Nothobranchius furzeri: one gene and its partner. The protein of the gene in region 1 interacts with the protein of each later gene in a pairwise test. Links are inferred from orthologs where the notes say so. Each region holds a gene or a part of one and is shown on either strand. Other genes may lie near its edges.

Region 1 (3,500 bases):
TTCCTCAGCCTTTTCCCCTCCCCCTACTTTGGACTGTGGTCTCTAGTTTTCCTTCACTCCTCAGAGCAGCGCCCTGCAGCCAGACAGGAACTGGTGGTGTTGGTTTTTCAAAATAAAGCAAATTTAATGGTTCATGACATTGAAATGCAGTTCAAACTCTGATTATGGTTAGTATAAGTGGCCAAATACAGGTTATATATGCATCTCATATGCTTTACGTCATTTTAACATTTATTAAATAACCTTGTCTGAAGGTGCGGCGGCACCACGGTCAGTTACAGAGGACTTTTCTGGTGTCTCAGACGTTTTACGTCTCATCCAAGAGGCGTCTTCAAAATCCTGGAGAAGGTCAGACACGCACGACCTGTGGTTAACTTCCTCCAGACCGAGTCTGGACTCGGAGTTGGACTCAAAACGAGGAACTGGAGTAGCGCCAGGCGATATGGCCTCAAATCTACTGTATATTGCGATATAATCTGAAGCATGTGTGGTAACGATATATATTGTGATATATTTTTTCCTTTGTTTATATATGTCAAAATGACATGCTTGTAAATATCCTCATGTGGCAAATATATGCCACTTGAGGCAAATAGGCTTCCTCCTCCGCCCACTCCATGCTTGCAGTCACTGCCATTCTGTTGTCCCAATGTAAGCAGGGTGCACATCTTAGTGATGCCATGTGTTATCGCGATATCGTGGTATTGCGATATAGCCAAAAACTCTATCGTTACCCAATTTTATATCGTTTCTACCTTATATCGTTTATATTGCCCACCCCTAAACTGGAGTCAGAATCACTCTGATTCAAATGATGATCTACTCTCCTAAAGAATAGCTAATGCTAGCTAGCAGTTTGCTGATCGTCAACAAAAACACGAGAAGGGAGAGAAATGTGTGGTGGTGAAGAGCTAAAGCCAGAGTGAGCATGGGGTGGTCTACACTTGTGGTGTTTTCCTTTGTGTCTGAGCAGCCAACACTCGTACGTTCATAGAGACCTGCTATCTGCTTCATCCAGTAGCAGCACACCTGTTTGGTGTTGCTGTAACTGTAGAGGATGGGTCGGTCTCCGCCAGGAAGAACCCAGTAAGCTAGTGGCTCCTCCTCTCCTGACTCATCTCCTCGCTGAAAGGGTCTCTCTGACAGACGGCGTGTTGATGTCAGCGTTTCACCTGGTCAACCTTGCTCTTTTGTTTCCCTGTCAGATTGTGGGCTGAATGTTCACAAGCAGTGCTCCAAAGTGGTTCCCAACGACTGCCAGCCGGACCTTCGGCACGTGAAGAAGGTGTACAGCTGCGACCTGACCACTCTGGTTAAAGCCCACAACACCAAGAGGCCCATGGTGGTCGACATGTGCATCCAGGAGATCGAAGCCAGAGGTGAGATGCCCCCATGGGGATCCGATCAGCTGCAGCCACATCCAGACACTGAGTCATGTTCGTCTGAACAATCAGCAGCAACTCTTGAAGTGGCTAACCTTTAACCTGTTGTGGCTGTTTCACCGCCGCTTCTGCTCTCATACTCCTTTTGTTCCTCAGTAAAAGTATTTTTGATAGAATAACCCTAAACCCTGCATGAATCTGCTGCAGGAGCTCAGGAGGTAGAGCGGCTTATGCAGTAATCAGAAGGTTGTAGGTTTGATCCCACCTGCCAGAGAATGCTGCTGTTGTGTCCTTGGGCAAGACACTTAACCCGCCTTACCTGCTGGCGGTGGTTAGGGTTAGGTGGCGCCTGTACTCAGCAGTCTTGCTTCCGACAGTACACCCCAGGGCAGCTGTGGCTACATCGTAGCTCATCAACACCAGCGGGCATTCGCTGGTGGTGATGGATTGTGAATCATCACAACACAATCATCGGGTGAATGATTGTGTTGTGGAGCGCCTTGGGGGGCTGCAGAACCCTAAGAAGGTGCTAGACAAATACAGGCCATTTACCAAAAAGGGGTGGGGCTTTCTCACCAGTTTCTCCAAAATTTCATTGAGTTCTTTCAGGTTTATTTGGCTAATCTTTGCTCAGTGGAACAGAGTACCACTACTAAAGAACAATGCACTCGTTTTTCCAAGCTACAGGCCACGCCCCCATAAAGAACAACTCCTGGGAGGCGTTTCAGTAAGCTACAGGCCACGCCCCCATAAAGAACAACACCTGGGAGGCGTTTCAGTAAGCTACAGGCCACGCCCCCATAAAGAACAACTCCTGGGAGGCGTTTCAGTAAGCTACAGGCCACGCCCCCATAAAGAACAACACCTGGGAGGCGTTTCAGTAAGCTACAGGCCACGCCCCATAAAGAACAACACCTGGGAGGCATTTCAGTAAGCTACAGGCCACACCCCCATAAAGAAAAACACCTGGGAGGCGTTTCAGTAAGCTACAGGCCACGCCCCCATAAAGAACAACACCCGGGAGTCGTTTCAGTAAGCTACAGGCCACGCCCCCATAAAGAACAACACCCGGGAGGCGTTTCAGTAAGCTACAGGCCACACCCCCATAAAGAACAACACCCGGGAGGCGTTTCAGTAAGCTACAGGCCACGCCCCCAAACAGAACAGCATCTGTGAGGCGTTTCAGTAACAAACCACTTCTTCTGGCAGGTCTTCAGTCAGAGGGTCTGTACAGAATCTCAGGCTTCAGTGAGCTGATAGAAGATGTCAAGTTAACCTTTGACAGAGGTGAGTGTTGCCCCCTGATGTCCATCATTATCAGTGTGGTTGATTGTTTTGGCTGAACTGAACTGAATTCCACTGCAGATGGAGAAAAGGCAGATATCTCCTCCAGCATTTACGAAGACATCAACATCATCACCGGCGCCCTGAAGTTGTACTTCAGAGAGCTTCCTATTCCTCTCATCACGTATGACGCCTACCCTCGCTTCATAGAAACAGGAAGTAGGTGGTTGGAAAACACCATCACTTCAGCGCCACATCATTACTAACACCTTTCGCATTAGCTCAGACAGGTGTACCATGTTCAACACCTTAGCATTAGCTAGGACAGGTGTACCATGTTAAACACCTTAGCATTAGCTAGGACAGGTGTACCATGTTAAACACCTTAGCATTAGCTAGGACAGGTGTACCATGTTAAACACCTTAGCATTAGCAAGGACAGGTGTACCATGTTAAACAGCTTAGCATTAGCTAGGACAGGTGTACCATGTTTTAACACCTTAGCATTAGCTAGGACAGGTGTGCCATGTTAAACACCTTAGCATTAGCAAGGACAGGTGTACCATGTTAAACACCTTAGCATTAGCTAGGACAGGTGTACCATGTTAAACACCTTAGCATTAGCTAGGACAGGTGTACCATGTTTTAACACCTTAGCATTAGCTAGGACAGGTGTACCATGTTTTAACACCTTAGCATTAGCTAGGTCAGGTGTACCATGTTTTAACACCTTAGCATTAGCCAGGACAGGTGTACCATGTTAAACACCTTAGCATTAGCTAGGACAGGTGTACCATGTTAAACACCTTAGCGTTAGCTAGGACAGGTGTGCCA
Region 2 (4,261 bases), on another chromosome or scaffold:
TAGATGTCTCACTGGAAAAGAAAGAAAAAGCAATCCCAGAACGCATTGCACATTACCTCCAGAGTTGTGAGGTACCCAGACAGCTTCTTGACGATTGGTTCAAGAGCGCACGTGTTGGTCTGAGCATCACAAACAAAACCGAGGTTAAACAGAAGGGCATTTCGACTATACTTTTTATGCTCGATGCACACCGGGCAGCCAATCAGCTTTTTATCCATCGCAGTCCTATAAAAAATAAAAAAATTGTGTCAGAAGTTTGACTTTAAAAAATATCAACTTAACAAGCATGGATTACATACACTGTAATTAATTTGTTTTGTAGTTCTGGTTTGGTGATAATGTAGACTTGAACAGTATCAAATAACTCTCTTGAAATGTATTCCTCTGGAACCTGTCAAAATATAAGTAAGGGGAAAGAACAAAGTCATATAAAGTAGATTGTTTAGCACGATATAATAAATAACACAAGAAACTCACAATATGGGTCAGACCAATAACAATCAAATAGAAGATTAGTACTCAGACGCAGGAAGAAAGCAAAGATTAACTTTGATTTCTACTATAACAAGCATGTTTACTTACCTGGTAGGTTATCTTTGGGCCCAGAGTAGGATGAAACTCACTAAAAAATATACACTCTATTCGAGTGGCCATGTCTGTGATAAGCTCCAACCAGGGTTTTAAATGTGGTTGTTAAAAATAACTTCACCTGAATGCTGTCAGAGAGACAGCCTCCTCTCCTCTTTAACTACAACAGAACAAGCTAGCTGTTAGCTTTTACGTCGAAAAAGAAGCAAATGCGAGCCTTTTGAATTATTTTTAAAAACTACCGCACGGAATAGGAAACAATTAATGTGAATATTTAGTTAAAAGCGTACTTGCACTGGTGAAAATGTTATGAAGTGAGACTTTGAGCTGCTTGAATGAGCTACTCAAACAGATATGGAGGACAACAACAATGCTGCATTCACGGACTGTACGGAAGCTGCAGCTTCTCGTGTTTGCAACAAATATAGCTTGAATACAGTTTTTTTGTTTTATAAGATTGACGTTCAGTCCATGAAATCATCATTTTGATAAAAAACTTGTTGTAAAAATTACATTCTGACTAAAAATAACTTTAAAATGTGAATTTAGATACGCGAACACGAATAAATGATAGTTTACAGCTCTATTTACCGTGAACCATTCACATTCATTGTGTGTGTGTGTGTGTTTTGTCATTAAAACACATGTTTAAATGTCCAAGTCTCCGTGCTACGGCATGTTATTACAATTGTGTATCATAATACTGCAGCAACATTTTAAATTTACAACAGTTCCAAAGCAAACGCCGTCTTGCGCATATTGCGCAACTGCGCCGGATGCGGAAACATTTCTGAGTCACGTGACCTTCGAAACGATTTTCAATGCACGCGACCTGCTCAGTCAATCAGTGTTATTTGTTTCCTACAAATTATCATATTTCCTATGCAGTCGCGCAAAATTGTCCAGGAGAATGAAGGAATTATTTACGCGTTCTGTAATACAGCTCCTGTGAGTAGAAGAGGGACAGAGTTGAGCTTAACTGAGCTGTAGGTGAATGAATAAAAGTTCTTATTTTGTTTAAAACGATGTGGACAAGATTGCTGAATACAAGCTACAGATGTTTTGGAGTCAGGGGGAGTGGTGGACCAAAGGTAACTGCACGTGAAAACGAGGACAATGTTTTTAGTCTGCTAAATTGCTTATGTTAAAAATAACTGCATGCATCTTGCATTATTGGATTATGTCGACTATACAAGCTGTTTCATGTCTGACTAATAGAAGATAAACTCTTATGGTTGTGCTGAAACTCCACATGAAGTACTGAAAAGTAACAACAAAGTAGCATCATCATCCATTCACATGTGAGCTGCACCAATTCCGATTTTTGGGCCAGTTCCTTTTTCCGATAATGGTATCGCTCTGGCGAGCTAATGAGGATATTTCAAAGATCTTGAAGTTATGAAATAGTTTTTTGGGGTGTGTATTTTCCCTGGCGATAGTGGGCAGTACATACCTAAATCATTGCAAGCAAGCACTATTTTTGTGTTCGAGTAAGACCATATAAACGGAAGGCCATTAGGGTCAAAAATCCCTTGGAGTGCAATTTTCAAATGAGTACTTTGTCAGATCGTTTAACTGCCAGCAAAATGACAAGCACATCAGACTACCTTTCATCACTGGAAACGAGTGAAGAGGTAAATGTGTAAAACAACTTTAGGAATGGCGAAAGTTTTATAACCGTTTGTTGCAAATGTGTATTGCCCTCACGGGCTCCCACAGAAGGACATATTGCATCTAATATGGCATCCCCCAGAGACTTGGACCCGCTCCCATGTATTTTAGACCCCATTTTTTTAATGGTTATATGTTATGATGCTGCCAATATTTTTCAACAACCGGGCATCATTTAAATGATTTTCAGCCAAATTTTGATGGATATTTACAAAGATTAATGATAAAAACTGCACATTGTCACTTTAACCATTCTGGAAGACCTGGATGTTAGTAACCGTATTGACCGGGGAATCTGGTTGTGATGGTGAGTTCATGAACAAGGGTACATTCTGTTGAATTTCTTAACAATAGTGTGTTCACAGACTTAGGTTGGTCACCAATTAGAAGGGTTATGCTAAATACTGGCCAAGAATGGTGGAATTTATGTTCATTGTAGGTGTGTGTATTGGCAAGAATCTGGTGTTATGGTATACATCACTATATGGTGGAGATGATGCAATATATTGTGATACTAAAAGCCAGACAATCTTTGCAATTATTAAGACTGAAGTTCATAGAAAAACTCATCCTGTGTTATTGTGAGTTTTGTAAAATAAATAAATAAATAAACTGCTGCCACCTAGCAGTCAAAGTTTGAATTGCACCGCACAAAAGAAATATAGTGAATGTTTGCATGTAGATTATCAATAAAATATTTATACACTGCTTTTAAAGGCAAACTTGGCAGTTTTGGCTTGATTTTAGCACCCCCTTGTGTCTGTTTGTAGAACCGAAAGTAAAACATATCTCCTCGCTGTGCGTTTGTCTTTTTAACACCTAATCTAACAGCTGAAATGTCTCCCCAGCCTTCCTTAGTTTCTACAGGATTGGTTAATCACTAAATCATACCAAACAGCAGTGCTCATGATCTAAAACATGCAAGAAACATGCTGCTTTTAAGTATAGATTCAGTATCATAACATGAAATATTGCAATATTTCAGTGAATCAATATTTTTCTTACATTTCTTGTAAAAAATACAAATCTGATTAGAGTAAACTATAGTAACGATAATAATAATCAGAATGAGGTGTCACCTTAACAATACAACCTTTTATATGTTTTATTAAGTTTATCACAATAAATTGTGTGGTGAAGCCGTGATCAAAACATCCAGCTGTCCGATCCACTTTGAGGCTTCCACTAGGTGTGGAGCGGATGCGGATCGGAATTTGTCTTTCTTCCCAGAAGACCAAAAGTCGTTGAGTCCAATCATAGCGTTCACTCTGGCTGGGGTACGGGGCCGGATGCAGAGCTGCAGAATCTTTCCATGCAGTTTCTGTTTTTTTCTGGACACCGCATGCAAATCGTCATGAAGTTGAAGAAATGACATGAGACAGACAGGAAGTGAGGCGTGTTTCAGAAAGGTGCATTGGTTTTTTTTCCAAAATGAAACCTGTGCCGTATCATTCTTCCGGCTTCTTCTTCTCTTATTGATGACAGGGATATTGGTTCACAGATTATGAAGGTTTGAGAAGACGGGTCTGGCTTTTGATTACTAACTTGTTTCTACAAGCGTTGTTGTTATCGCGTGAACTCGTGAGCAACGTTCCAGAGACGTTCTGCTCTCAATCCGTAGCCGATGTTGATGGCTGTCCACGCGAAAGCCGCGTGGACTCGAGTCTGCACTCGATGTGAAGAAGGAGGCCTGACCTTTTCAGGCTCAGATCGGTGCAGATGCATTTCTGAACAAAATTACAAGCACAGGATTCAATCACCATAAAATAAATAAAAACAAACTAAAAGCAAGTCAGCAAAAAATTATAAATATAAAAGTATAGCACTGTGGAAACTATAGAATCTTGCACTATTTATAAAGAGGTAGATGTTGTTTCTCTGTATAAAAGAGCTAAATAAGCTGTGTAGTATGCTTTTGTGCAAACAGAGATATCTGTTATTTTCTTACATATCCTCCGTTTTGATGCTCCCCCTTCAACTACCTCTCCTTTCACTCTACTCT

The links.
Region 2: the proteins of N-chimaerin (region 1) and hemk1 interact in binary tests that used the Homo sapiens proteins (3 or more experiments, as listed by UniProt). The two-hybrid records come from large-scale screens. The link is inferred for Nothobranchius furzeri from reciprocal best matches to the Homo sapiens genes CHN1 and HEMK1.

The regions. Positions count from the first base shown.
Region 1 is NC_091754.1:46,223,504-46,227,003, forward strand, and holds part of N-chimaerin, read left to right. Parts: intron 1-1,205; coding exon 1,206-1,379; intron 1,380-2,591; coding exon 2,592-2,669; intron 2,670-2,747; coding exon 2,748-2,885; intron 2,886-3,500. UniProt on the Homo sapiens protein: GTPase-activating protein for p21-rac and a phorbol ester receptor. Involved in the assembly of neuronal locomotor circuits as a direct effector of EPHA4 in axon guidance.
Region 2 is NC_091743.1:64,712,729-64,716,989, reverse strand, and holds the start of hemk1 (MTRF1L release factor glutamine methyltransferase), read left to right. Parts: upstream 1-1,461; 5' UTR 1,462-1,613; coding exon 1,614-1,679; intron 1,680-4,261. Other genes in the region: GATOR1 complex protein NPRL2, read right to left, coding at 57-225, 300-391, 583-654. UniProt on the Homo sapiens protein: N5-glutamine methyltransferase responsible for the methylation of the glutamine residue in the universally conserved GGQ motif of the mitochondrial translation release factors MTRF1, MTRF1L, MRPL58/ICT1 and MTRFR.